2 linked regions of the Lytechinus pictus genome follow. The protein of the gene in region 1 purifies or fractionates together with the protein of each later gene. This does not show direct contact. Links are inferred from orthologs where the notes say so. Each region holds a gene or a part of one and is shown in the gene's direction. Other genes may lie near its edges.

The links.
Region 2: the proteins of histone deacetylase complex subunit SAP30L-like (region 1) and paired amphipathic helix protein Sin3a-like purify together in Homo sapiens (affinity purification with western blotting; 4 studies listed by BioGRID and IntAct, with this or other methods). This does not show direct contact. The link is inferred for Lytechinus pictus from reciprocal best matches to the Homo sapiens genes SAP30L and SIN3A.

The regions. Positions count from the first base shown.
Region 1 is NW_026974140.1:19,462,799-19,479,130, forward strand, and holds histone deacetylase complex subunit SAP30L-like, read left to right. Parts: upstream 1-7,666; coding exon 7,667-7,939; intron 7,940-8,294; coding exon 8,295-8,423; intron 8,424-9,539; coding exon 9,540-9,638; intron 9,639-12,023; coding exon 12,024-12,140; 3' UTR 12,141-15,893; downstream 15,894-16,332.
Region 2 is NC_087247.1:13,908,388-13,924,567, forward strand, and holds the start of paired amphipathic helix protein Sin3a-like, read left to right. Parts: upstream 1-4,505; 5' UTR 4,506-4,605; intron 4,606-4,830; exon of another isoform or gene 4,831-4,915; intron 4,916-5,020; exon of another isoform or gene 5,021-5,109; intron 5,110-11,897; 5' UTR 11,898-11,951; coding exon 11,952-12,142; intron 12,143-13,341; coding exon 13,342-13,477; intron 13,478-15,294; coding exon 15,295-15,503; intron 15,504-16,180. UniProt on the Homo sapiens protein: Acts as a transcriptional repressor. Corepressor for REST. Interacts with MXI1 to repress MYC responsive genes and antagonize MYC oncogenic activities. Also interacts with MXD1-MAX heterodimers to repress transcription by tethering SIN3A to DNA.

The DNA.
Region 1 (16,332 bases):
TATTTATAATCACCTGGATGTAAGTAGTCAATATTTTTTTTTCAAATCGGTTTTCTTCTCTTATTCAATATTGAATCACTCATCTGGCTTCCTGTGTGTTATCAATTTGGTTTTTTTTTTCATTCCTTTCATAAATGCCTTCCCCTGGCTCCCCACTTTTCATCCACTTAAGATAAAAAAACAAAACGAATAGGTATATTCATTCGGGGAAGATTTATTAATTTTCTTTGGGTCAATTTCATTATTGCTTGAGGGATATTTAAATTAATCTATATTTTACTGAGACTTACCCCCCCCCCCCAGTCCCCACAATTTGAGATTATATGTATATTATTCATTTTGCGTATAAAAGTAGGCCCTACAACCATGTACTTTCAAAGTACGTTTTTTTTTTTTTTACCTTAACACAATTTATTAATCTTTTGTTTTTTAAAAAGCTTACAATACCGTTTATTGATATGCCAGTATTTCTTCAGCTAACCTACTGAGTATTTTCTCATCCTGCATTCATTTTAAAACTGAAAGGGATGGTCCGGGTTGAAAGTATTTATCGCTTAATAAATAGAGTAGAATTCACTGAGCATAATGCCGAAAATTTCGTCAAAAAAAATATTGATCGATCGTCATTTCATTAATTCACCATCCAAATATTGCATTTTTTCTTCGCCTATATGGTATTCATTTATTTACTAATTCATACACCCTTGCCCTCCCCCCCCCCCCCCGATTTCCCGTTTTTATTAAAAGATTTAATAATTTCGGAAAAAGTGTCTCAATGTATTCTTATAATTTATTTTTATGCACGAATTATTCTACTATTTCCCTTTCTGTGATATAGTATTTCAGGAGTTTAATGTGTCCCCCAGATCCGAGATTTCGTAGCGGGGGGGGGGGGGCGCAAATTTGAGAAGACAGTTGGTGGTACAGAGGTCTGTCTGGTTGAATGCGTCAGGAAAAAAATATACACACAGGTACGGGTTCAGTATTTTTAAAGGGGCGTGCATGGATACAGGCTGGTCGGACACATTGCCATTCATGAAATCCATAGTTGGCCAGTCAAAGAGGAAGAGGTAAAAGTTTTTTTTTTTTTTTTTGGGGGGGGGGGGGGGGGGTCGTGCTATGGAAGTTAATGTACATTTTACTTTAATTTTTACCAACAAGATATGCTTACCATGATTATACGGCCGAACTAAACGAGATAACTGAACATTAAAAAAAAATTATAATCCATGTGTTAAAAGCTATCAATGGAGCACACTAAGCTCTCTTTAACCCAAACAGCTAACGTTTATTTAATATTTAATTACTAAACTGAAAATGGAAAAAGGACTTTACAGTGACGCATGAACAGGATATGAAAGAGGAGCGCGAGCTGAATTTTTTTCACACTTGAAAATAGGATGCGAATGCGATCGAAGTTCGAGATGAAGTTTGTTGATATATATCGACACGAAAAGGGTATGTTTTTAAGCACTGCTGACATGTAGGAGTGAGAGAGGCGGGGGCATCTTGTTCAACACTTTACTTCATCTGTAAATATCATTATTTTACATTGATTTACATGTAGTTTAATTACCACTAACATAGCACCCTGTTGCTAGGCGACATCCAACAATTCTTTAGGCGCTGTTTGTCATGCAGTTGCATCGTACATATTACTTAGTTGACAGTGAGGTCACGAATCGTGGCATGTTCTGATATTGTTTTTTTTTATATATATAAACACAAATTTAGAATGAGAAACCAGATAAAGCACAAAAGTATTTCTAATTTCATTGTTTTTTTTATATACAAATGCCAAATCACAACACGTTTTTCTCGTTGTGATTTCGTTTTTGTGTTTTAAAAAACCAAACTACGGGGCTGATTTCCGATTTCGCTTCTTCATGATTGGAACAGAAAAACAAATTATCCATTAGTACCTTGATTGTGCAGGTTACTGGGCAAGTGAAAATGACATTCACAATTGATCTTAGCAAGGAATTCATTACATTTATGAGTAGAATACAATTTAACATAATAAACACTAATTAAAGTGTGAGAATGGAAATATTTGATTAGAGAATATCGAACTTCTTAACCAAAATGCGTGACAATTAAAAAAATATATTTTCAGCAAACCTTTAAGAATATTTTTTCCAGTTTCTGCTTTAATTATCATCAACTTTGCGTCAGGGTAAACTGCCCCCTTTAAGGGTAGGCCATTCGTGTCAATTAATAGACAACATTTTTTCCCAAAACAGTGCAAACATGAACGAATAAATGAATATATGAATAAACCAGGAAATGAATAAGTGAAACAATACGAAGGAGACAGTCAGTCCGCAAGCCCTGAAAAAGTAGCTTCTTTTATCCAAGTGATATTCATGACAAGAGGGTTTTTGCATAGTTAATGAGCTTGGTGCGAACCAAAACACCTCTTTTTATTCGGCCACTGCTGCTCTAAATATCGACAAAATTTCATGTTTTTGGTATTTTTGTAAAGAAGAAGAATCATTCTTTTAGGTCATGTGTTTGGATTCTTAAAAGAATGTTGTAATATAGGAAAAACTTTTGATCTAAAACATGAAACAAAATATTTTTTTTCATGCAACAAAAGTTGTTATTTTTACACTTAATTTCTGTTTAGGCACAAATGATTTTTAAATCATGATAAAGCTGAAGATCTAAGCTTTAATATGATATAATTTTTATAAGAAGATGTATTTTAGATGGGTCAGCAGCCAGCTTTTCATAGGCCAAGTACATTTTGCAGCTCAAAAACAAGAATACTGCGCTCTGATTGGTCATAGACCACACACCCACGCAAATTCCAATGATCCCCACACTGGGCCTCTGCAAGGTCACACTCACCATGTGGTAATCTCTTCAAATTACCCGCGCCTGTTTGTTTTGAAAACAGTATTCAGCCAATCAGAACTCTGGATTTTATGTTACTCAGAAATTTCAGAAATCTCGTCTTGCATCTTGATGGAAATAACTGGCTGCTGACCCATCTAAAAGATGCCACATATCAAGAGTGACATTGTAAGAAAGTACAGAGTTTGAGCTTTCTGATGATATAAATAATGTTGGTGCCTAAAACACAAAATGTTGCACAATTTGCAAGTGAAAACAGAGGAAGAAAATTCTGTTTGATGCATCTTTTCAGGTAAAAAATTCACTTATTTATCAAAATATTTCATTCAAAAGAAATGACCAATATAAAAGGGTAACATTTACTCTTGCCCATGGTACAAAAATAATCAATATTACTCAAGGAAAAAGTGGTTAAATTCTTTGAGAAAGAAAGTCTCACAATTCACGAGATTTTGCAGGGACATGAATTCAGCCACGTGAGGACTTGGATAAATCTTGCTCATTTGCTCATTAACACAGGGGCTTGCGGACTGACTGGAGAACTTGAAATAGTGATGCATTAGGCCTCTCTCTCCCACTCTCTCTCTCTCTCTCTCTCTCTCTAACGTTTCACGTATTGGCTTCAGTGAGGTAACAAAATATATTTTGTTATATATATAATAATATATGGTATACAGAGAGATAAAATCCATAAGTAAAAAGAGAAATTAACAATAATGGTTGGTCTAACATCAAATAAGACAAAAAAGTTTAATACAAACAAATACATCAATTGTTTAATTTAAAGGCCAAGTCCACCCCAACAAAAAAGTTGATTTGAATATAAAGAGGAAAAAAAAACGTTCATAACGCTGAAAATTTCATCAAAATCAGATAAAATAAGAAAGTTATAACATTTTGAAGTTTAGCTTAATTTGAAATAATAGTTACATATGCACATCCAGGTCGATATGCAAATGAGGAAACTGATGATGCCATCCACTCACTATTTCTTTAGTATTGTATTATATGAAATATGATATTTTCCCATTTTCTTCTCATTGTCAAGTGAAACAATTTCTCCCTGAACATATGGTTCATTCACGTTGGCCCTTATTGTAAAAAATGTGAAAAATGAAATATTGTATAATAAAAAAAAAAAAAATAGCGAGGCCGGAACTGTATCATTTGCACGTAAATGAGTTGTGCATATAGGGCCTATATTACTTTTTTTGTGAAAAATAAGCGAAACTTTAAAATATCACAACTTTCTTATTTTACATCCGATTTAGATGAAATTTCCAGCGTTATGCTAGTTTGATATATCTCTATTTATTCAAATCAACATTTTTTCTGGGGTGAACTTGACCTTTAAACAAAATATAAATTCCTTTTATGTAACGAAAAATAAGGTTATAACACCCCAAGTTCAACTACGACTAATTCAAAGAAGGTAAACGATAATTTTTTAATTCAGATTATACTTTCTTCAAATTTTCAAAGTCATTCATGCCTGAATGATCGAGGAATCTTCTGAGGATACCAGGTGAAAGAGAAGATATTCTAAGCTTTACAATGAGTGCCGTCTTCATTTTGTATAGCCATTATAACTTACAGAATGAATAAAAATAAATGAAAAATAAATGAAATGTATGGCCCTGTATCAACATAAGACTTCAGATAACAAAAAGATGAAAATATGATAAATAAATGAATAGATAATAAATAAATAAATGAACTTCCACACATAAAAAGAATTAAAATCGAATGATACCTCTGGCTGTCTATATCACAGGAAAAAACTGATAACAAATAAATTAAATGATTAATAAATAAATATAAATACATTAATTAATCAATTAAAATAGATTGATAAATAAATTAAATGAACTTCCACAAATAAAAAGAATTAAAAACGAATCATAACTCTGATTCTCTATATCACAAAAAAAAATTAACTGAAAACAAATGAATTAAATGATTAATGAATAAATATAAATACATTAATTAAACAATTAAAATATATAGGTTGATAAATAAATAAATGTAATTTTAAACATAAAAATAATTAAAAACCAATTGATACCTCTGACTCTCTACATCACAAAAGAAAAAAAAACTGAAAACAAATAAATCAAATGATTAATGAATAAATATAAATAAATCGACAAATAAATTTCTGAAGAAGTAAATTATTATCTCTCCTTAATGTTTATTTGGAAAATAAATTGGAGCCCCCCCCCTGCCTCCTACAGCGCCGCCCATGATATTCTTTCCTTGTTTATTTGGAAAATAAACTGAAGCCCCCCCCCTCCCCCCTACAGCGCCGCCCATGATAATTCTCACCGGCCGGGGAAACAAGCCCCACGACCACGTTATTTTCCATTATATAACAGCGTAAGGGACCTCGATAACGAGTATACTACTATAGCCGTCATCCGAGCCCCACACACGTGCGAATGCTGGGACAAGCGCATTGGACGGGGCCAGTTTCGCGACTATCTTAGGATGCAAGCTTAATATATACTCGTGATATAGGCCCCGCTACTGTGTTGGAGTGTCTGAAGTGCCGTAGTGCGGGGCCTATATAACGATTATAGTACTTTACTCGTGAAACAGGCCCCGCAAACGGACATTCTAAGCCATTCAACACAGCAGCGGGGCCTATATCACGAGTATATATAGTGAGCTGAAGTTAGCAACCTAGATATTGAGGTAGTATAATCGATTACAAGTTTTTCTCGAGCGGGGCCTATATCACGATTTTGCCACATTTATTTGCACACAGACCATTCCATAATTTGATATTTTAAAGTTTAAAATGATACCATATACTGATCAGTGCAGTGACCAAGACCAAGTCAATAAAAAATAGTTTAGTAACATCGCATGTTGTGTGAGTGGACCAAGTCGAGAAGTCCATGCCATGCCATGGGCATGGCCATGGACATGGTGACAAGTTCAAGTTCTTGCCTGTTGTTGGTTGACTGAATTCAGTGCAAGATTAGCATTTATTTAAACTTCTTTTATAATTTTAATGAAGATTCTAAGTAATTTGGAATTGCAATTCGTATTCTGTAATGTACGTATCAACAGACTTGCACGGGAACTAAAATATGTGCAAGAAATTAATTCAAAGACAAAGATTATTCAAACCACTCATTCAGTGAACAAGGTTATATCATAACCTTGTTCATTGAATGAGTGGATATAACCTTGTTCTCGGTTAAATCTCCATGTGTGGCAAAATAAGGATGGCAATGTTTGGCTTATTTTCTCTTTTTCTTTGGGACAAGTGCTTGATTTTTTTACACTGACAGTTTCCATTACACCTATTCGTCATACAACTTGGCCCTTTAAGTAAATTTGATTCTTTAAATTATTTTTTTCTTAATTAAAAATATTATTTTCCACCAATAGAGGGCGTACACAAAAATATGCCCAAAATTCAAGTTTTTGAGCGCTCTAGTGAATACAAAAATTATTCCCAAGTTACTAATGAAAAATAAATTGCAACTGTACGGAAATAAGTAATTTTGGTCACAAAAGTGATATTTTTTAAAGTGTGTGCTCTGTACAGCATTGGCATGCCATAGTCCAACCTGTAGATTCCCCACAGGCAGGGTGGTTGCAGTAAACAAGTGATTCAAACAGTGCAAAAATGAGAATCTAGGTATAAAAAATGAACAATAATAATTAGATTAATACATACTCAGATTTCCACAGTCATTCAAACTCAAGTCTCTTAAAAAAACCCTGCATATTTTTAATATAAATACAATTCAATCTATTGTGTTTTCATGTAGAGGTCGATTTTGTATACCATTAATTAATTCCTAAAATATTCATTTCAATCTTCATAAGAAATGAAAGTATTCATAACCATAATTGAAAATATAACATAATTTTTTTTGGTGGCCCGAAAAATATAAAGAAAAACATTAATTAAAAATGAATAAAACAAACTTCTAAAATATTAATTCTGCAGCCACTACCACTAGGTTACTTTCACTTTGTACATCTTGTATGTAAATCTTGTTTGCTGTTATTTTACTTTGCTAATTGATTTGTGGTAATATATAAATTGTTCTATCATTGTAAATATGAAATGATTGAAAGAGAATAAAAGATTTGTATTGTTCTCAGGTTATGTGGACTTTAAAAAAAATCTCTGTATAGACACACACTCATAATAGTAAAGTAAATAAATAGTGCATAGCAAACTCAGATAGATGTACAAAACAGTACGTAAGATCATGGCAGTGACAAAAATGGAAATTGTCACACATTTTGTTTAATTCATCATTTATTATGCACTCCAAGTCTCCAATAAAAAGATAAATGCAGATTTGTTACCATATATGAGTTTATCCATGTGACATTATTGATTCACAGAGATCAGAGAAACTTCACTACATTTCTTTAGTTTAACTATTTTACTCTTGAGTGTTGTACTGTCAAACATAGGCATGAATACATGTATATCTTTAATATGCAAGTCTTATCAAACACATGCATCATGATGCATGTAAATGGTATCTCTGTATTAACTTTTATTCTAAAGAATTATCCATTATCATTTTGCTCAAATAGCAATCTAGAATTTGTGTGTATTTGAAAAGTGACAGTTGGTAATCTAATATTTATTTTCCCTGTTTAAAATCTAGTAAAATGTTTTCCAAGAAGTTTTTTTTCCCCTCAACAAAACATTAAATGAAGACGACCAGTGACATTCTAGTTTTCCTCTATGTATGTATCATGTAGGCAAATATATTCATGAACAGTGCCTGGATTGGTAATTTTTTTCTTATCTTTTGTCCATACCAGAATGAAAGAGAAAAGCAGCCCATTTAAATCTAGCTCAATGAAATCGAGCATGAATCCTTCGACGACAAAATTGTCGTCTTCAACATCATCGCAGCGCAAGATGAATGGCTTTAGTACAACAGAGGATGACAGTCGTGACTCCGGACATGGTCAGATATGTTGTTTGGTGGACGATGGTCAGCGCTGTTCAAGACCTGCAGGGAATGCATGCTATAGTAAACGTATTGCTAAGACAGTTCAACAGAGGAAATTAAAACTGACTATTGATCACAGTGTGAGTATGCACATACATCAACTTCCAAATGACAATATTGAGAGGTGAACATGTTCTTGAAAGAATTATATTTGTGAGAAACCATTTATATTTATGTAATTTTGTGAAATAATTTATAATTAACCTTATTAGAGCTCTTTATCTTTTTACTTGCTTGTCAGTGAGTGCCAATCTCTCTCTTGTGAGCAGTGACTGTATCTTTTTTCAGCATCATCTTTTTTCAGATGTATTAACTTCATGAAGTTGTCATTGCCATAATTAGGTGATCATGAAAGTCATAGAAGTACACTGTTTCTTTGATATTGGTGATTTTTTTAAAATAATCATTATCTATCTTCATGGTATTTTTAAACAGGTGAGGCATATCTATATCTGTGACTTTCACAAGTCTATGATACAAAGTGTTCGTAGTACCAAGAAGAGGAAGAAAGGAAGTGATGAAGATGGTGGAATATCTCCAGATCATGATCTTGATGTACCAGAGGTATTTTCTTTGTGAATCATTTTTCAATCATTCACCAATTTATTTATCATGATGACTCAGAAATAAGAATTTTTTATTTATTTTTTTTTATTTTATATATCCCAACAATAAAGACTGATAGGCCTTTCCTTTAAAAAAAAATCTTAGATCCTTAGTTGTATACAAGTGTGATATACTTGCAGTTTCCCCGGGAACACAAGTATTGGGCAATTCCAAGCAAAAGTGGAAATTTTCCAAAAATTTATTTTGGCTCTATTTTAATTCTGGATCAAATTTTTCTATCAAAACTCATATGGGATTTCATAAATACAAAAGGGGAACATAATTAGACACAAATTTTTTTCTTACGCATCTCCTTATAGGAGAATCCAAACCATACAAAAAATTCTATACATGGGACTATGAATGTTTTTTTTCCTTAATTTCAATTTAGCGGAAAACTATTGCTTGTTTTGTAAAATTTTCTTTTGGATAATCTGAAGGTCATCATTTTACATCATATCAAAAGAAAGTTTTTTAAATATAAGTTCATTTTACGTTGCCTGTGGGTGAATATTTCAGATGTCACTCCGTAACCGAATATGGGTTTATGTTTGAAGTTGTAATTACTGAAAAAATACACCAATTTTTAATGTAATGCAGCATATTAAAGCTAGAACAACATAGAATCCAATCAATAACTCAAAATTGTGATAGCCATTTAAAGTTCACAGAGTTTGAGCAATATGTTTTCTCCTCAAATATGCATGTCCATTTTGCGTCACTCTGTAACCATGTTTATGAATATTCATATCTCATAAATTCAGTGGATCAAAATAACAAATGTTATTATTTTTAAAGTGGGCTTCATCAACTACTGTCAGGTACCATTTCTTTGAAAATAACTATTTAAATATGGGTGATATCTTTGTTTGAATGCTAAAATTTGTTTCTGAATATCTCTCCATTACCTTGGAACTGCTCTATTGATAGAGTTCATTAAAACATGAAACCCAATTGCTCTTGAAATACCCGAAGCTTCAAGGGAGATAAACTATAAACCCATACCATACTGTACGTTTGTAACATTTACTGAAAAATGTCATGAATGTCACTGACTATTTTCTTTCTCTACAGGTTGATTTGTTTCATTTACAAGTGAATACTTTAAGAAGATACAAGAGACATTATAAGATTCAGACCAAACCAGGGCTCAACAAGGCACAACTTGCTGATGTAAGTTCAAGGAACTATCACAAATTATGGGTGGGGGTATGTTTATTTCTTGCCGCAGCACTATTTTGTTGTAGAATCCATTTTAAGAAGCAGTTTTCTAATGAAAATTGATATTCTTAACCCTAAAAAGACTGGGGGGGGGGGGCTGATTCAGCCCCCCCCTCGACATTTTTCGCGATAAATCCGCCGCTTGAAAGTTTTTGACCGTGTCACTTGCTGACTTTTTACTTTCAAGTCTCGCGCGACTTTCGAGACCAAAATTGTGACCCCCGGGTACGCGGTTCCGAAATTACGCAACATTTTGTAAGTGCATGCAGACCCAAAATTACTCAAAAACGTAAATTTGTGTACAAATCCAATGCAAATAGTGTTTTTAGCCAAAATTCATAAATGTATCATTATTTTTCCTTTTACTGCTTAAAATCAATTAATTTTATCTTTTTAATGGTAAAAATAAAGTCCCCGATAATTTCCATTGAAAAACAATAAAAAACAAAAAGTCAAAAAACAAAGAAATACATAAGAAATTTAGAAAACAATAGAATACATAAGAAAATAAATGTGATGTTGAAATTTTTTAAAAATAAATTTGATCAGATGCCTATCTAGAGTATGTGAAACAAAAATTACCATTTTAGGGGCATTATTTTATTAATTAGAGCAAACTTATGATTTTACGCATAAATTAGCATAATTAATGAGCAATGAGATTTTTTGCAGAATTTGATATTATAGTTTTGTTGATAATGCCATGGGTAACGCGTGTGCCAATTTTCGTCGCGATCGCGCGGTCGACGGCCGAGATCATAAGGGGGGGCTGAATCAGCCCCCCCCCCCAGTCTTCTTAGGCGTCGAAATAGCCCAGTCTATTTAGGGTTAACACATGGAAAAGGACTTCATTAGTTTTTATTTTTGTGTGTGGGGGGGGGGGGGTTACTTTGTAGAAATAGTAACGATCCTACAAACCCCTTTGAGAGAGGTATTTATATGATTTTTTTGCCATGGTCAGCAGTGACATAGCTCAGGATGGGGGAAGTGGGCATGTAGGGGAGATCGCGGTTAGTTGGAGCGTGGGGTAAAGTTGAAACATTGTGTAATTTTCTTTAACGCCTGTAAAATGAATTTATGCAATACTGCCCTCAATTTATTGCTATTAATGGTACAACACTTTTATATTATTAATAGCAATAAATTGTGGGCAGTGTTGCATAAATTTATTTTACAGGCGTTAACCCTTATTAAACTGGGGGGGGGGGTCAGTTTGATCCCCCCCCCCTCAACAAATTTTGTCACTACGCCGTCGCACAAATTTTTTTGACTACGCCGCTCACTGACTTTTTACTTTCAAGTCTTGCTTATCTTTTGAGACCAAAATTACGCAACGTTTTGTAAGTGCATGTCAGACCAGAAATTGCTCAAAAACGTGATTCCGTGTAAAAAATCAATGCAAATTGTGTTTTTCGACCAAAAATCATAAGTGTATGATTATTTTTAGTTTTGTTGGTTTAAATGGATTTATTTTATGCTATTTATGATCACAAAAGGGTCCTCGACAAAGTTCATTGGGAAAAACAATAAAAAACAAAGAAATACATAAGAATTAAAAAAACATAAAATACATAAGAAATTAATTATATTTTTGCTATTTGTTTGTAGATATTTGTTAGAAATGTTATAATTGATACTCCCACCAAAAATTTGCATTCTACTAGCTATATAAATTGAGTTAAAGGCAAATACATACACAAAAAAACAAATTTATGGCAAATTTCATATGCTTATTTGCATAATTAATAAAAAATAAAAAATAAAAAAAATTGAAAATTTTACTATACACTCAAAGTAGTTTAAATCCGGCAAATTTTCGCGGCGATTGCGCAATCAGTGGCCGAGATCTGAGGCCCCAGTATATACTGGTCCGAAATAGCCCAGTTAAGATAGGGTTAAAGAAAATTACAATGTTTCAACTTACCCCGCGTTCCAACTAACCCCGATCTCCCCTACCCCGGGATCAACTTTCAGGATGGCAGCAAAAAAAAAAGAAAAAAAGAGAAGGTGAAAAAGGAAGAATTAAGGAAGAAAAACAAACCCTAGTCTAATCTTGTAAACCTTCTGGTGTTAATAGGGCATGATTTCATTGCAGACTCCCAGTTTCAGATTCTGGTTGGGCAACTACCGTATGTCATACTGGCACTGCGTTTCAACTGTTGGAGGGGACGCAATGCTAGCACTTGTCCTGTGTCCTGCTTTCATTCAAATGCAATTGGTTTTTTTTAGTAGATAATTTTTCCTGTATTAATCAATGTTAAGCAAGATAGGATATCTTTACAAAAATATGCGGTCATAATTATAATTGTTTTTTGTATCCCTTTAATCATTTTACAGATGGTTGCCAGGCATTTCAGGACCATTCCAGTGAGAGAAAAAGAAGCTCTGACTTATTTTATCTACATGGTTAAGAATAATAAGAGTCGCTTTGACCAAAAACATGACCACAGCTAGAAATCATAAAACCAATACGTACGTGTATAGCCTGTCTAGACCAGTGCACATAGAGGTGAATTGTGGAATGGTCTAATCCCAATCTGTCTATCCTAATAATGATAAAAACATACCTCTTTTGGTCTCAGTCCACTTGGTCTAATCCACTTTTTTAACCAGCTTTTCTACTAGATATTCAATTTAATTGTCATTTTAATAGACCATTAAATTTTTGCGTAATTTTTAATGTGAACATACCATTTAACTTACTTGGTTTATAATTTAAATCCACTAGTCTACATGATCAGGCAACTGGTTATGGGCAAAAAGGATAAGCCCTAGTTGTACAGCCGGGCAAGCTGAGAATTAGACCAACTGGGAGGTTGACCAACTGGTAATAGACCAATGAGGTTTTGCAGGAAGCTTACATTCATTTGCAAATGAAGCATAAGACCCAAAATCAAGCATAATTTTGAGTTGCAATGGAATGCAAATCAACTATGAATTTTCTATTGAACAAAGGATTTATGTTTGATTTTGGGACTTACGCCTGAATGGGAACTGAACACAGACCTTCTGCAATGCCCCCCCCCTACGCGAATATCAACATCATCTAGATATAGATCCATCATGATTATATGACAGCTGTAAAGCGAAATCATCCATGTGAGAATCTCAATTTTCACTGCTTGATATTTCAAAGTCCTGCCAAAAGCATAACTTGGGGAATGTTTCACAAAGATTTAAGTGTGATTTAGAATCGCACTGAATTCGTTTTTTGCACGCAGTATGAAAGGAATCATTGCACTGGTCAAATCATGCTATAATGATGTGAGCTTTTGTGTTAAGTTTGCTCTATTTATATCATGTCCATGTCGGCATTTATGCACGACTCTTAAGTCATACTTACCATGTAAAGATAATTTCAATCTATTCTTTGTTTATTGTAAATACTGTTTTTCAAATTGTAAAGTAATTGCTTCTATTTATGTAGCTGTTTGTAAATAGCTTCTCATTGTGTATTTGCAATAATTTTTGTTCCTCAATATTGATTGTTTTCTGGAGTGTCAAGCGCCCTCTAAGATCAGGGGGTGTATTCTGAAAATTGTCTTAAGAGAAATAATCTTGTATCTTTAGAGTTACAATAAAATCCGTATTCTGAAAACTCTTGTATCTTTTCTTGTAACTTTCACTAAGCGCTTATGACGTCAGAGTTACAATGATGCGTAAAGTTAAGAACGGCGCATAGATCTCTGTGCGCAAGATAACATATCGAGATAAAAGGTATTCTGAAAATTCTTTGCGTTCTGTTAACTTCCTTGCAAAATACAAGAAAATTTACAAGAGGTAGGGGGCTATTGTAACTTAATGTTGAATGCGATATTTCTCGGTCAGCAATAACAATTTCTTCCTGCATCCCGCAAGAACATCATGTTTTATAAAAGGAGACATTACAAAGACGTTATAACAACGGATTGGTAGACTTCAGCAATTGAAAATTGGCATTCGAGATGATGAATCTTTTCAGAGAAAATATGACTCTGAGAAAAGCCACGTGTATTTTAGCCGATTTTAGCATAGTAGTGTACAGGCATAAGCGTCGGTGGCGCAAAGGAAATTACGCCGCATGTCAACAATGCGCTTAATTATTTTTTTAGAAGGGATGCTTCTATTGGTTGACCGAAGCATATAAAAAGTTTGATTGGTTGATGACAAAATATTAGGCATGTCGGAGATAAAATAGGGGAAGTCCTTACAGAGATGAGACAATTTTCAGAATACTGATTTAAGATAATTTTAGCGAGCTGTTATCTTGCTGACTTACAAGAAAAGTTACAAGAAAAGTTAGGACAATTTTCAGAATACCACCCCAGGTTTTTTTCATATATTAAAAAAAAAAATCAATATTGACATGCAGCTTTTGAAGATTCCCATAACCATTCTTTACAATAGAATGATAAATTTCACAGAGACATGAAGAACTTTTCACAAATTTTGGCATGCAATATATATTCATGTAGTAGCAAGTTGTGTAATCATAGGCATTAAGTTCAAATTGTTTAGTTAAAAATCTATTCTGAGACACATTATTATTATTGTTGCCCCAGCCTTGTCTGGGTACCCATTCACTTCAGTCTGGAAGTTGAGATGAATCTCTTGCTGAAAGAAATTATTTCCATTTGAACCCATGAGCCTCTGAATAAAAACAACAAAAATAAATGTCATGAAAAGTTTTTTTTATGCATTTACTAATCTGAGATCAAATGATGAGAGAAAATAATGAATGGATAGGCCTAATGCATTCTACCTGAAATTGATGTTGCAACACAAAATTAAGTTAGTCTCTTTTGAATGCATGCTGATGATGAGTGTATTCCTTTACAACATTTCCACATCAACTTCATAGTTAATATTGAACAAGCTGTCTTCACTTGGTATGGACAATAGTTTTCATGATCTTCAAAACATCAGACCAGAGAGTTGTTGCATTAGACTAACTTCACTTGGCAATTATGGTAACTATCATGGGAACACTAGTCAACAATCAATATCATTATGATTTGTGCATCTCTATTGGGATTATGTATTATGTAGTGTCAATTAGCCATAAGCATCTTTTCATAATGGATAGCAGCGCCCCGTCTTACAAAGAGTTACGATTGATACAATCAATCTCAAGTATATGGAAATCCATCAATGTCATAATTTTTTTCTTTAGGAAATTTGCTCAATGTCCTTTGAAAATAAGGAGAAGTATACTGAATTTTCAAGAAAACAGTGAATGTATGAATATACATCATTTCTAGAAAATATTTTGAACAAACATTTATTTTAGATGTTGATGTTTCCATAGTTTCGATTGATCGGATGAATCGCAATTCTTTGTTAGACGGGCCCCTGGTGTGTTACAAATGTCCATGTTATTATTATTACCCATTATGCAGAGTTAGGTATATAGATAGTATGTCATTGTCAGTGATTTTCAGTGATTATGGAGAATTTTTAATATTTAGATATTACTCTCATTTTGCTCAAATTGTGATTCCATGTTCATTCATTTGGGCTTTTTTGTTTGTTTTAAAAGTCATTTAGTCATTTGATACTTACAAACTTTTCTCATATGCAACATTTCTGGAGGTTTTTGTGATCCCCATTTTTTAACATGACAATTTGAATGTGCCATTTTTCGATATGTGTTCTAGGTTAATCTATTACATTTATATATTTTATTTTAACTGATTTTGTAGTTATTTAGAAACCTTGAAGGGAATTGATTATTAGCATGAACAGTGAAAACAGTATATAAAGACCACATATACTTTGAGAGAGAATAGAATCTTGCCTTTCAGGTTTTTGGTCTTCATTGACATGCTTCCTTTGGTATCCAATGAAAAAAAAAGGAAGAATACATACTTTGTAGAGAATTGCTAGTGACTACAATAGGCAAGTGGTTAACAATGTATGTGGTCATGTGCTCTTAGAAATACATAATGGAATTTATTGTCTAGATCTTTGGTTATTTAATATTTTTATTTATTGTGAAAAATCTTTGAATGAAATTATTACATAGATGAACATGTACAATTTGTTTTCATAGTTGTGTATTTCAGTTTTCAATATCTTTTGAAATTTAATTGTTGATTTTTTTTTTACTTGCTTTCATATTCAATATTTCAAATCAGAATTTATTTTCAATATTGGTATTTTCCTTTTCCCCCAAGAGGCCTGTTTTTTCTTTATTTCTTGTATTGTGAAATTTTTGAGAACGTTTTTGTTCTGTACAGCTATTTATCAATTTGTACAATATAAATGTAGCATTTGATAATTATAATTTGCATTTGTGTCAGTGAAGAAAATAATGTGTTGGACCTTTTTATTCCTATGTGATTGTGGTTGGTTAGGTAGATAGTAGGTAGCTGGGGTGAAATGCTTCATGTTCTATTTACACTTTGTCCTCATCCCACATGGTCTAATCCTAGTTTATCTACAACCAGTTCATCTACTAACTAATTAATCTAATTGCCACTTATCCCCATACCATTTGGTCCTGCACCACTGTGTATATGACTACTGAACTGTTTATAAACCTAATATTCACTTGCCAAATTATGAAAAGGTATAGCGATGGAGTTGAAATTAGACCATCTGGGTATGAGAGCAAATGTTAAACCAAATGATAATTATACCTTATTAATAGTAGACAAAGTGGGTT
Region 2 (16,180 bases), on another chromosome or scaffold:
ACTTTAAAATGTAGATTTGTAATATGTGCTAGTGATTACAGGTAGATAAAAATGCCCCAAACCTTTCACACTGTTAGTTTTTATATATTTTTTAAATGTTTTTATACTGAGAAGTTTGCGTAATCAGATGAATATTGAAAAGAGATTATTGCCACATTTTTCAACCCATACTATACCAGAGTTTTAGACCATGGTTTATGAAGCATGCATGTTTGTTCTGTTTTTTGTCAGGTCTTGACGAAATTGATTTTAATTGGGGGATATTTGATTTCATTTTGTTGTTCAAACTTAAATGATATATTTGTTGGACTGGCATTTTACACAAAATTCAGTTCAAAATATTGGTCATGACTCATATGAGTATTAAGTTATTATTCATCCATGGTTTCTTATTAGAGGAATGGTATTACACTAACACTACTTAAAATTGTATACTGCCATCTTCAATTCTGCTAGCAATACTGTGATGCATTGATTTTTGCCATCATGCATCAGTGTCTGTATGGCATACATATATAACACTAATAACAAGAGGTGACAGTCTGTGGTATATGCAATTGAGCTTGAAAACTAGGTGGGAGGATCTAAGGAGATTTATCAGAATGGGGTTAAATGATATGATTGCTCAGGGAATAATTTTGCTGGACAAATTTGAATAGCATTTTTGGTCATAAGAGAAAAGCTCTCAACTATTATAATGTACAGTCCTATGTAAAAATATGCTATTCAAAAGACTTTATGCATAGCAGTCTTTCAAAAATGTGGAGCGAATTGCGATGCGATACGAGGAAAATTATTCCCTGTTGCTCATTTGTAAGAGTTGCTTATTTGTCATTGAATTTTTTTAATATGGTAATGTTTTCATGAAATTCATGGATCAAAGCATACATGTGTAATGCTTATATCATCATCTTGCATCAAATTTTCTTTTGGAACTGTCAGTTTTTGTATACCGTTCAGATATTGTTCTTTTTTTTCTACATACATTCTGTTACATGTAACTTATTATTTTGTGCAATAGAAGCCATAATTTACATGCACTTATTTAAAAACTTTATGCAATTTTTTCTTGATCCTGAAAGACTGATTAATTCTTTGAATTCAAGAGATCATGTACCATTGTACAATATCATGCCTTTAGATGTTGTATAATAATGTCTCCAATCTTAAAACCTTTTCTTTTACTTTATTGCTTTTCTATCCAGTGGGATTTTTTTCAAGATTTTATCATATGATGCTAATTGTTCTGAATTCATTAACTCTTTCATGATTGTCATAATAAAGTATTTATTGTTAACGAATTATAAGATGGATTCATGTTCTCTTGGTGTCTTGTTACAAAAAGGAATAAACTTTCTTTCGATTTACATGCACATAAACAGTGTTTCTAGTATCTGCTTTTGTGTAGCTTGTGATGTAAGTTTTCAAAATGTGAAGGTTTTGTTGTTCAGAAGTGGAAACTTGCTTACCTTTTCATTTGTGTCATCACATATGATGAAATGAAATATTGATTTTATGAACCAAATTTTGATTTGACAAAGGGTAAATTATTAATAGATTGACTAAGTGAGAGTAAGTTAGTTGGGCTGTAGAGTAATTAGTCCAAATTGAGAGTAGATCAAGTGGTTGTTAGGCAGAGATGGAAATGGCAGAGGTGAATATGGCAAATCTTAAGGAACTGACGGAGGCAAAAATGACAGGTTAAATTGGCATGCTACATTAACTTGGAAAAGAGAGAGCCTTTCCCGTCGATATCAACGATCTATCTATGATTTATGAGTCCGATATACTAGTAATTCAAATTATCTTGTAACAACCTTTCTTAGTTAACTAGCCATCTATATGCAGGAGATTAACTGCCATTTTTACAGCTTTACATTTCCTTAATTGAATTACAGGGTCTGATGTAGAGTTACACTCCCAGAGCTCATTTTGATACTCATCCGTATCCCCACCCCCACCCATCTTTTTTTATGGGGGTGGCGCCACCCCTGGTATTTACATTAAAAATTGTCATTGTGGTTTCATTTATTGTGTTACTTTAGCATTTGGGGAATTCTAATATTCTATATACTGAATTAAGATTGGCCTACTGTACGCCTCGTAAAAAAATTCTTCATGTCGTTTTCATATCAATGCACAGAGAGATAAAATATAATAGTAATAATAATAATGATGACACCCAACGTGCTTTTCCCAAATGGCCCAAAGCGCTTACAATTTAAGTTTACCTAATTCATGCAAAAACAAATACAGAATGAATGAACAAACACGTTTTTTATGAACATCTTAAATGATTCAACTTTTGGGGACTTTGTCTTAATGTGAGAGGGAGATTGTTCCATTCCATTGAGGATGCAAAAGTGAAGGTTCTATCTCCGGTCCGTTTTCGTTCTGTTGCACATATGCAATTAATATATGCAGATCCTCTGAAGACCCAATGGAATTAACGTATATGTTAACTTAAGTGGGTCTTTAGAGGAGTCTAGTTTTTCTACCTGGGATATAAATTTCTAAACAATCAGACAAATATTTTTGGGGGCTAGGTTATATACCAAAAGAAGTAGCTTGAAAATGATCCGATATGGTGCCAGTGTAAATTATGTAACAGGGGTTCAGGAGGTGTGTCACGGCGGACTTCGAAATTCAAGACGGAGGCGCTGTAGACGATTTATCCCCTTTCCCATACCCCACCCCCTCCCCATGAAAGATTCTGTCAAAAGCCAACGTTTTGCTCAAGTGACATTCTAAACATTCTACAGTCATGTGCATTTCAAAATTTACCAAAACGAAAATGAAAATGTGAACATGCATACATGCACTAAGTCTGAATTGGAGTTACAATCAAATGTTATAACAATTAACAAAACAAAAAGTCTCTGTATGCTTGCATTTCGAATTTCAAACAGTTACGATTCTGACCAAAATAAATGTTTCCAAACATAATTGAAAACTATATAACCGATGGAAAATTACCACTATATTTTACTTTTCTCCTTGTATGTTTTTATCTATATATCTTATGATTTTTTTAAGGGAATAACTGTACTTGTTGATTTACTAGATCATGAAATCGAGTTCTAATTGGTTAAAGGAAATTACAGCTACACCAAATTATCAGTTTGGCTAAGTATCGTACAGTCTAAAAACAAATCAGTAAAAAATGACTATAGTGAATAGGGTCAGCTGGGTGCCACTGTTATTCTCGTTATTTGACTATTTTCTTGTCGTATTTTACTAGAATAGAGTATAGAATATATGTCAGAAATGTGACTAGCATATCAGTTGCACCCAGCTATGACCACTTGTCCAGTCAATTTGACTGATTTGTTTTAAGAGTGTATATTCCACAAACTAGCGGATTAAAAATCAAGATTTTATCATTTATACATTCCTCTCCAATACGCAGAAACAACATTAAGCTAACAAATGTAATTTAGAAAAGGTTATGGAGACAAACAATATACAAATTTACGTGTAGTTGAGGCAGAAAATAGAGAGTGACTAAAGGCCTTGGAGGGGCAGGAGAAGATTGTCACCCCCTGAAAATCGATTCGCCCCTCAATAAGTTTGAAAACTTGAAAAAGAAAAATAGCTATACTGAGCTGTTAAACTTGGCATGAAAAAAAGTAAAAATACTAATACAAAATTTTCATTTATTTTGCACACCTTTGCCATGCAAAATTATGTAATAGAAAATTTGGCACGCCGAAAATATTGGACAATTGTAGATTAGGCCTAATACCACTTTTCAATGACAAACAGCCTCCCATAATGATCAGTCTTTTTTTTTTACACTTATTTCACAATAATTTTTTTTTGTATTTATATGACTTATTTCACAATTATGGTTTATACATGTAATTGGCACACATTCTTGATATACTGACTTTCATGGCTATAAACAATCTTTTCGTCTTCTGATGGCGAAGAGAGAAATTATCAGGAGAAAGAAATAATACTCGAAGCTGTGTGCATTGATAGAAATACATGAAGGCCTATATACAGCAAAACGATTGGAGTTATGAACATCTTTCTTTTAATATACCCAAATTTGAATTAAGTGTAAATAATTGCTATGCAACACACCGGGTACATGCGATCGAAGTTTCTGTTATTTCGGTAATTTTCAAAATTGTATAATTCACAGAATAAATAATAAAGACACCCATGTATTGTTCAAGCTTGTGCATTTCTGCCAGGATCAGTTTACGTTCAGGAATACGTTAGGCTAATCATTCCCGTAAAGTGGGAGTAGACTTTTCGAGCACCAATTCCATAGAACTTCCAACAAATTGATAAAATTTAGAACCTCGCGCCGCAAACTTCAAACACTTCTTACAATCAACTAAATTCTATTTTCATTGGCTTGTTAAGGATTGTGGGCGTAGGGCGCGCGTTTCACCTGTCAGGGTTCGCGTGTATGCAGCTCATCATTGGTCACTTAATGAATTAACGTTGTGACGTAGACTACTGCCCATAGGTCGTACGTATTATATGCAAATAAGCATAACAGTGTATCTTTCCCGAAATAAGGATGTGGATTTACCCGTAGATTTGGACGTAAAATCCGAGGAAATCTGGACCATCTGATTGATTTCACTGGTAATTCTCTCTAGGTTTATTTGTTGAAGTGTTCTTTTCTCTAGCATTGTATGGCAAATCTTTTGATCGCAGGTTGGATGATAATCTTTTATATTTTAGCAAGGTTTTCACAGCGGAGACCATAGAAAATTTCGACCCGAACTCTCCCTATGTTTTGATCGTCAAGCGTCTCGCACTGCCCAGCTGGTGAGGTTGTTGTATGGGACTGCAATTTTGATGGTTGTTTCTTCACAGATAGCCTCATGTTTACGTTATTTTAAAGGTGGATGGATAGGGGATGTTAATCACTGTGTATTGCGGAACCTTTAGTGTAAGTTATATATATTTTGTTAATCTGAGAATACATTTTCTTCGAGTTTTGGTGACAAAAGACGTGAATTATGTCCCGACGTCCGACTTGTTCTGCGTTGGTTGTGCACTGTCTTCGCGCGATGTTTGACATGGTATGTGTTGGAAAATTGTAAAATTTTGTGTGTTGGAATTCATCTGAGCATTTCAATTTCTGTAAGTAATAGACCTTGTTTATTTTCCATCATTTTCATATTTGATTTGTAGGTATTCGTTGGAAGATTGAATGATACTGAAGATTATAATTCTGCTCCAAATGTCCGCCCCAAAACGGATTGGCCATTGCACGTTAAATTATGTTCCCATTATTGTGTGCATATCATGCGGTGCTTGTGTGTAGGCCGTGGTGAATTGTGGCGTCTGCCTTTGACTTCGACCGATGTGATTATTCAGAGAAAACCAAGGGAATATGCCAGTTTTATTCCATATTTGCATTCAAAATCATTTAATTTACTATTTGTTTTTATCACCATGATCATTTTGCAAATTTACCACACAAAGTCTGCTATGGAATCGTCTAATTTCTTGTTTATGTGAGCACTTTAGTTCTGTGATTTTTGTGCGGTGGATTGACAACAGCCAGCTTCCTGGTTATCTCAAAGATATTGTTTATGGGCTGATACCATTTTTGTGTAGGGGTCTTTGGGGTGGTAGTTGTGGGATGTGTCTTAACTTTTTTTTCTTTTCCCCCTTTTATTATTCGTTAAGACACCTTTTATGTAAGATAAAGAAAATTACATGTTCTTTTTTTTTATATTTTAAGATATAAATTAAAATTGTATGTTCTTTCTTGATGATTAGACGGCTTTGGCTTTGCGTGCTAGGTTTAAATCGCCAGTCTTCCTATTTTTAATGGTTCATGCTGATCATCCAAGGAGAGTTTCAGTCAGCCATTTTTTGACACAGCAACAACTTGCTTCGGCGAGTCATTGGGTCTGTGCATTCATTGCAGATTTCCATGTGTTGTAGTCCCTCGTAGTATGCACACAATGTATTGACCTAGCAGAGGTGGACTATTATTAGCTTTGTTTGAGGTGGAACATGGCTGAAAGCACACCCTATGTTGAATTTTTCAGTTCCAAAGCATGAAATATTATATTGTCATGCATGCCAATGCCATTGACAATGTCATTTGAATTATACATGTTTATCCATGGACATTTTATGAATTCCCTCTTAAAGTAAACACACCAAAAAGGCTATGTTTATGCTATTTCTGATTACCTGTATTTGTCAATTGTCATGTCCGAATTCCTCAGTCTCATTCAGGAGTAACTGTAATCTCATAAAGTTTACATGTACATGTCATGTAACAAAACAAATGAATGGTATGGATATGAAATAAATGACATGTAAATTGTAAGCACAGGAATTATTTATTCTTAAACTGGTTTTGCTAATTGGAGGATCAAGGATGTAGCTTATAAGTGAATATTCTTGAGTCAGAAATTGTGAAATGTTTGCATCATGAACAGGCATGTTGGAGTGTAATGGTGCAAATTATAATTGTTTCATGTCATTGGTTGAAAATCAAGTTGTGCATGATTTTTAGAGTTGCAATCAATCGCAACTCTAAAAATCACGCGCAACTTGATTTTCAACCAATGAACAGCGCGCATTTGGTACTTGCGATTTTTTTTGGCTTGCGTTTAAACGCAACTCTTTCTGCAACGGGCCCCATCCATAAACTGTCACAACTCAAGGTATTTTTTGTGATGTGTTGCTGTAGGTGGAGGATCAAACTTACATAAAGAAATTAATCATGATTTTTGAAGCAAACTGGAATTTGAATTTTCCAAATTTGGCTGTGTTGCCCGAGTTGAGTGTGGCAGAATGTTTTTAATTTTTGTGGGTAATTTTCAACAAAGTTGATGATGCCACTTTCTTTATTTCTTTTTCTTTTTTGTTTAGAGTTTGCACCATTATTTTTTTTCTACATGCAGTATTTACATATTGTAAATCTTTTGAATGCAACACTGAACACAATCAAATTTAACACATACATTTAAAGGTCAAGTCCACCCCAGGAAAATGCTGACTTGAATAAATAGCTCTAGAAAAATCAAACTAGCATAGTGCTGAAAATTTCATCAAAATCGGATGTAAAATAAGAAAGTTATGACATTTTAAAGTTTCGCTTATTTTTCACAAAACAGTGATATGCACAACTACAGTAAATGAGTCAGTCGATGATGTCCATCACTCACTATTTCTTTTGTTTTTTATTGTTTGAATTATACAATATTTCATTTTTTATAGATTTGACAATAAGGACGAACTTGACTGAAACATACATGTAGTATTAAACAATGCTAATGCCACATGTACAGGGAGGAATTAATAGTTGTATCACTTGACAATGAGGAGTAAATTAGACTATTTCATATAATAAAATACAAAAGAAATAGTGAGTGGATGACGTCATAGTCTCCTCATTTGCATACCAGCCAGGATGTGCATATTACTGTTTTGTGAAATTAAGCGAAATTTTAAAATGTTATAACTTTCTTATTTTACATCCGATTTTGATGAAATTTTCAGTGTTATGCTTGTTGGATTTTTTCTCTTTTTATTCAAATCAACTTTTTGTTGGGGTGGACTTGTCCTTTGAGGATTAATTAGTGACAATGTTCATCATATAAATTTTAGATTCATTTACTAGCAGGCCTATCTGTAATGATTAAATCAGTCAAGCTATTTTTGTCTCACCTGCATAGCAGAGTGAAACTAAAGGCGCCGCTTTTCCAATGGCAGCGGCGTCAACATCAAATCTTAACCAAAGGTTAAGTTTTTGAAATGACAGCATAACTTAAAAAAAAGTATATGGACCTAGTTCATGAAACTTGGCCAAAAGGGTAATCAAGTATTACTGAACATCCAGCCTGTGTTTCAAGTCACATGACCAAGGTCAAAGGTCATAGGTCATTGAGGGTCAATGAACTTTGACCAAGTTGGGGGTATTTGTTGAATTACATGTACCATCATAACTTTGAAAGTTTATGGATCTGATTGATATAACTTGGACTTAAGTGTAATCAAGTTTCACTGAACATCTTGTGGGAGTTGAATTACCATCATACATGTAACTCTGAAAGTGTATGGATCTAGTTCATAAAACTTGGACATAAGAGTAATCAAGTATCACTGAACATCTTGTGCGAGTTTCAGGTCACATGACCAAAGTCAAAGGTCTTTTAAGGTCAATGAACTTTGGCCACGTTGGAGGTAATTATCAAATTGCTGTCATAACTTACAGAGTTTATGGATAGTTTGTGAAATGTGGACATAGGTGTAATCACTGACAAGTCTTAAGTATCACTGACAAGTCTTAGGTCACATGATCAATGTCAAATATCATTTAGGGTCAATGAACGTAGTATTGTATCATATGAATGGTGCTTTTTGTGAATAATCATTTTATAGTAGTTTTCAAGTCAGCACTGCTGCTATATTGAATCGCTTAATGCAGGTGAGACTGCCAGAGGTGCTCCACTTGTTAAGAGTAATTAAGCCCCCATTCCACAGAGGGGAGATTTTTAAAACAATACCTTTGAAAGACAAAAAAATGGCAAGGTCTTAGAGCAATCTCCAAGATCACTGAATTTGTCATCTCTGTGGAATGGCTCAAAAAGACCACTCAAAGAACTCTGAAAGACCGATTGATACTTCTTGTCTTACTAGTCATATAGACATCTTTCAATTGTCTTTCAGAGATCTTTTATGCAACAAGTGATCTTTCAGAATTCTTTCGAGTTTCCATGGACTTTTCCTGGTCTTTCAAGTTTCAATGATCTCTCATGAGTCTTACAGAGCTACAGTGGTGCTACATAATGGTGCATTTGCGGCAATGACTTCACTGTACATTTGCATGTAATTGCTTACAAGTACAATTTATTATTTTATTTTAGAATAAAGGAAAATAAAGTTACTTCCATTTATTATTTAAAAAAATAATTTTTTAGAATAAAACTCAAATAAGCATAATAAATTTCACTCAAAACAAATGTAAAATAGGAAAGTTATGACATTATTAAGTTTCACTTAATTTCCCAGTACAAAATTACAATGCACATCTGTCATCTGGTCAATATGCAAATGTGGGAACTAGGAACCAATAATGTCACCCACTCTCATTTCTTTTCTATTTTATTATATGAAATATGCCATACATGTATGTATATTGTCTCAGTTTAATGTGAAACAGAATTATTACTTCCTAACCAGGAGGAATTTAGATTGTATTGAATGAAGAGTTTCTGTTCAAATCAATGAAATATTGTTATAGTCTAAAACAATGAAATACAAACGAAATTGTAAGTGTGCCAAATTGACAATAATGTGTATGTCACTTTGATGTGCAGACACTGCAGAACCAGTTTATTGAAAATAAGTGAAATTTTAAAATGCCATAACTTTCATATTTTCCATTCAGTTTTGATGGAATTTTCAGTATTATTCATTTGGTCTTATTCAAACCAGCTTTTTATTGGTTTAGATTTCCAATTTAAAGGAAAATTAGCTTGTGTGAAAGCATAAAAATCAAAGAATAAGCTCAACAAAAGTTTGTGTAAAATTGGACAAGAAGAATGTTCAGACTTATGAGCATTTGAATGTCATTTTCACCAATGTTGTGGAAATACTGCAATCTTCCCATGATCAATTAGCTAGGTGAGCAAGAACTGTGATTTCAAACATGTTCAGGCTTTTGGACATTGCAAATATACACCAAATCATCTCTTAAGATATAAAGGACAAGTCCACCACAACAAAATATTGGTTTGAATAAAAAGAGAAAAATCAAACGAGCATAATACCGAAAATTTTATCAAATCGGATGTAAAATAAAGTTATGACGGTTAAAGTTTTGCTTAATTTCACAAAACAGTCATATTCAAATCTTGATCGGTATGCGAATAAGGAGACCGATGACGTCATCCACTCACTACTAGTATTTCTTTGGTATTTCTTGAAATGAAATGTAAATATGCTTATTTTCTCCTCATTGCCATGCAAAATAATGATTTATTCCTCCCTGAATGTGTAATTACCATTGTTTTCACATTTTGTAGTTCAAACAAGAGGGTTCTTATTGCCAAATGAAATATGTAAAAATTGAAATATTCAGTGGACTTGACCTTTAAGTTCTGACTAAACAATTCTTCTGTGATATGTTTTCAAACCTACACATGTACATGTACATGCCACTTAAAAAAATAAAAACGCCTAATTTTGCGAGAGACCTGATATAAGAGAAAATTGACGTGAAATTGTACTTCCATGTACATTAGGTAATTGGGAAGTTATGACATCGCAGATCTTGGTCATATTTGCCATTAGAAGGATCTACATAGAATTAGTGATCTAAATGTTTTCCTTAAAAGATTCTTCATTCTTGTTATTTTTATTGACCATTAAGCTACATGGACATGTGTAGGCCCAAGTCAAAACTTATAATTAGTAGCCTATCTTGCCCATTCCAAACATTACTCTACCAGTTTTACAACATTTCGGGTGGCCGCAAGTAGCTGCTTGGAGCAATTTTATTCGCCATTAAAAAAAAGAAGCAAAACAATGATTTTTTTTTTCGGGGGGGGGGGTCAAATTTGAGTAGAAAATGTCTGCAGTCTGCAGGTTTGAAAAGGGTCACTTGGGTGCAGCATTGAATTTTTTGCCTTACCATTCAATGTTGATTTCAATTTTCGCTTCTTCAAAAAGTGTAATCAAACTTGGACGAGTTCAAAGGTTTCTCTCAAATTACATGACTGCAAGACCACAAATCATATTTTTTTATTTATAAAAGAAGGCAGCCAACTACAATTTATCCCCATCAGAATGGGATTTTAATACCCTTATTCTGAGCTATCTGTACATTGTAGTATGCCTGAGTCATCCCGTTTTTTCTCGCCTGCTTAGCATCTTGCGTTAGTTTTAGGTCACATGACCAAAGTTAAATGTCATTTAAGGTCAATGAACGGTAGGAGTATTTGTTGAATTGCCATCATAAATTTGAAAGTATATGGATCTAGTTCATGAAACTTAAAGTCGTTAGACAAAAGAGTTCTCAAGTATGACTGAACATTCTGTATGAATTTCAGGTCACATGACCAAGGTCATTTAAGGTCAATGAACTCTGGCAATAATGGGGGTATTTGCTAAATTGCCATCATAACTTTGAAAGTTTATGGATCTAGTTCATGAAACATGGACATAGAGGTGATTAAGACTGTGTGTCACTGATTGTTTTGCACGAGTTTTTGGTCATGTGATCAAGGTCAAAGATCATTTACCTGTAGGATCAGTGAACATAGTATTTTATTGTCATATGAATGGTGTTTTTTGTGAATAATTATTAAGTTAGCACTGCTGCTATATTGAATCGCGTATTACAGGCGAGACCGCCAGTCGTTCCACTTTTTTTTTTTTTTACCATCCAGGATTTTTTGGCAGTGACAGGTGGATTGTTAAAATAAAGAAATCCATAAGATACTTGTAATCAGTGTCGCAGAAGACTAGATATTATCAACCAAGTTTATGACTTTATTTTCCTATATAGATATATATCAAATTTTTTACATGATCTCTTATTTCCAACCCTTGATCAGCCAAGTTGAGTTTTGAAAATAATAGTACAAAGCAGGAATTTCGTGCTTGAATTTATGGGACCGAATGTTGTATTCTCATTGCATGTGCACAGTCATGTTTTTCTTTTTGCAATCAGTTAATGTAGAGGCCTAGAGGGCATTGACACTTTGAAGCAATACTTGTAATTCTAACATTCTATCATATTGTGAATTCCCAAATATAAGTTTTTTAAATGTTTTGGGTTAAGTTGTGTATTTATTATTCTTCTCCAATGTTTTTAATAAAATGTCATGAACTACATGTGTCCATTCAATAGAAAGGAAACTTACAGTTGTACATGTCTTCCATTGCTGTCCAATCAGATTCTTATCAGAGAGGACTCCTAATAATCGTCCTCTGGTTGTCGCTTCAACATAATGAAACGCTCTGGTGCGGAACCTCAGGAGAGTGCATTCCCGCAGCAGCGAGTCAATACAACGGTGCCTGTTGAGAGGGTAATTGGCAGCCAACGTATCCCATTGCCTTCATCTGTCCCCGTCTTCGAGCAGGCAGTACAACCCGAGAACATGGCCAGTGGTTTACATTATCAACCTATGCCTGGATATTCGTAAGTTTATAGCTTGAATTCCATAATCATAATGGTAAAGGTCATAAATAAATTTGAACAGAATCTAAGAAAATGACCCACACAGGGCTTATATACGATAATGAAAAACGTCTGTCAAATGATTCCAGTAGAAAGTTAGTAATTGGCAATTAATAAGCATGGCTCTTTGTCACTTTTCAAGTGATATTAGTTAAGGCCCACATGTGCTTATTTGTGTTGACAAGTCTTTTATATTTAGAGTACTTAGGTTTAAGTCCAGATGCCACTATTTCACTGTGTCTGTTTGATTAAGAAACCATGCCAAAACTTCACTAGATCTTCATACATGGGGTCCTTTATTAGGGCCCTATGGAAGAACAGCGTCATTTATAAAATTCCAAAATGGGCTATCCATTAAGAAATATTTCTTTATTTTCATATATTTTCTTTATTTTTGTATGGAAATAAAACATGACAGATAATGATGGGATATCTTTGTGTCCAATCGCCCACCCACTTAAAGGGATGGTCAGGGCTGAAAATTTTTACATCTTAATACATAGAGTAGAATTCACTGAGCAAAATGCTGACAATTTCATCAAAATCGGATAACAAATAATTAAGTTATTGAAGTTTAAAGTTTAGCAATATTTTGTGAAAACAGTCGTCATGAATAGGCGGGCCGATGATGTCACATCTCCCCTTCCCGTTTTCTTATGTTATTACATAAAATCATAATTTTTTCATTATTTCATACTTGTGTGAATAATATGTCTCCCTTATAATGAAATAAGTTGCAGCAATAAATATCTAATGCACTAAATCAGTTGTCAATCCAATTTTTCTAGTTCATGTAAATAATTGAATAAACCTAATTTCATATAATAAAATACAAAAGAACAAGTGGGGATGTGACATCATCAGCCCACCTAATGAATATTCATGACGACTGTTTTCACAAAATATTGCTAAACTTTAAAATTGTTATCCAATTTTGATGAAATTTTCGGCATTTTGCTCAGTGAATTCTACTCTATTTATTAATATTAAGCTATAAATACTTTCAGCCCGGACCATCCCTTCAACAACCAAATTTAAAGGGAGATTTGTAGTGAAAGTGAATTAGCAAGCATCATGCCCTTGAAAAAAAAGTTTCACTGAATGTAGATGACACTGCTTCCGGTTGACAATGTTTTTTATTCATGCATCTATGTCCCTAGTGTGCCACCAGTAGGTCAGCCTGTCAGCCATCACGGTGGGGTACACCATCCACCAAACCATCCCCATCCACACGCTGCATCCCAACAGGCTGCAACTCACCAACAAACCATCCATCAGGCTCAAGCACAGTCACAGGTACTTTCAACTGCTTTCTTGTGTCTCCTAAAAAATTATGGAACATGTATTTGTATGAATGACATAGCTACTTTTTGAAGAGAATGTTCCTGTATCTTCTGAAGGTTTTCATGGCAAAGAAGAAAGGGTGTATTGGTTTCATGGTACACCATGTATTTTTTCGTGGGCCAATGTTGGTCCTGACAAGGACAACTCAGACTTGATGTTTTGACAAGTATGTTCTCGTCTTCAAGAGAATGAGCAAAATTTGTAAAAGCAGGCTTTGTATACTCTTGTTAGGATGCTGTGTGAAAGAAGCTTTTTTGTCATTTTGAAAAGCTTGTCATCAACATTTGAAATCTTGATGTTGATTTGTTGAGAAGCTCAGGTGTGACTGCTACTCAGGTAACTGTCAGATGAAGCAAAATTTGTTGGATATTGTCTTTTCAAGAAATGCTCCCCTGCAATGTCCATATATCGACACATTTTTGGGGGGGATGGAAGGGGGTTGGGACTCATCAGATAAGCTTATTTTCCCCCTCTCTCTCTTTTTTTGGGGGGATGCAACAAGGCAACATTTCCATAGTTGTTACAGTACATGAAAGCTTAAGCTGAATTCAAAATAAAACCCTGATTGGTTCATGGTCAGCGGTTGAATCAAAGTGTGCAATGATGATCTTGATTAGTCATTGGTGTTTAGCAGTTGATTGCAATTTTTGTCTCACCTGCATAGCAGAGTGAGACTATAGGCGCCGCTTTTCCGACGGCGACGGCGGCGGCGGCGTCAACACCAAATCTTAACCTGAGGTTAAGTTTTTGAAATGACAGCATAACTTAGAAAGTATATGGACCTAGTTCATGAAACTTGGCCATAAGGTTAATCAAGTATTACTGAACATCCTGCCTGAGTTTCATGTCACATGACCAAGGTCAAAGGTCATTTAGGGTCAATGAACTTAGACCATGTTGGGGGAATCAACATCAAAATCTTAACCTAAGGTTAAGTTTTTGAAATGTCATCATAACTTAGAAAATATATGGACCTAGTTCATGAAACTTATACATAAGGTTAATCAAGTATCACTGAACATCCTGCATGAGTTTCACGTCACATGACCAAGGTCAAAGGTCATTTAGGGTCAATGAACTTTGGCCGAATTGGGGGTATCTGTTGAATTACCATCATAACTTTGAAAGTTTATGGATCTGATTCATGAAACTTGGACATAATAGTAATCAAGTATTACTGAACATCCTGTGCAAGTTTCAGGTCACATGATCAAGGTCAAAGGTCATTTAGGGTCAATGAACTTTGGCCAAATTGGGGTATTTGTTGAATTACAGCCATAAATTTGAAAGTGTGTTGGTCTAGTTCATAAAACTTGGACATAATAGTAATCAAGTATCACTGAACATCCTGTGCGAGTTTCAGGTCACATGATCAAGGTCAAAGGTCATGTAAGGTCAAAGAACTTTGGCCACGTTGGGGGTATTTGTTGAATTGCCATCATATCTCTATAAGTGTATTGGTCTAGTTCATAAAACGTGGAAATAAGAGTAACCAAGTACATGTATCACTGAACATCTTGTGCGAGTTATAGTAGTTTTCAAAATCAGTACTGCTGCTATATTGAATCGCGTGATGCAGGTGAGACGGCCAGAGGCATTCCACTTGTTATTTTACAGAGCCCTGGTTAAAGCAAGAGTTATATGTAGTTTACTAGAATATTGAATGTAATATCCCATACGCTTTGGAATGCCCAAGGAATACCCAAGCATTGTAAATTTTGCTTTGTACCATATTAAAATGTATTTATCTGTTATTTAAATTATTCAAGGCACAAGTTGCTCAGGTACAAGGCCAACAGCAGCAGCAACAACAACAGCAGCAGCAACAACAACAACAGCAGCAGCAGCAACAACAATATCAGAGGCTGAAAGTTGAGGATGCTTTGTCATATCTCGACCAGGTCAAGCTTCAGTTTGGAAGCCAACCTCAAGTCTATAATGACTTCCTTGACATCATGAAAGAATTCAAATCACAAAGGTAAGTTTAGAATTACAGTATTTAGTACTATTTCTCTCTGTGTATTGAGGGTTGAGTTGCTTGAGTAATGTCTAATAATTTTGGATTGTTCAATTATTATGGATGGAAAGATGTACTTGTGAAAGAAAGGAAAACGGCACTATTAAAAACAAATAAATTTTAAAGGTTTGAATTAATTAGTGTATAACAATTAATCAAACTATTTAATAAGTCCTTGCTATTTATGTCTGACCTAAAGAATTGCAATTTTTTGTCTCACCTGAACAAGCGGGGAAGAGACCCAGTAATCACTTTCACAAATTTTTTTTTTTTTAATGTCAACTTGCAATTATTTCTTCTTTTTTTTTGCATCAATTGTGTTTACACTTGGTACAAATGATCCTTGGGTAATGCCATATGTGTGTTCATAAGGATGATGGGGTCAAAAGGTCAATTGATTTGAGGTCATGTCCGTCCTTTTTTCGAGTTTTTGTTCAACTTACTCTCATTTTTTGTCTCACCTGCATAGCAGAGTGAGACTATAGGCGCCGCTTTTCCGACGGCGGCGGCGACGGCGGCGTCAACACCAAATCTTAACCTGAGGTTAAGTTTTTGAAATGACAGCATAACTTAGAAAGTATATGGACCTAGTTCATGAAACTTGGCCATAAGGTTAATCAAGTATTACTGAACATCCT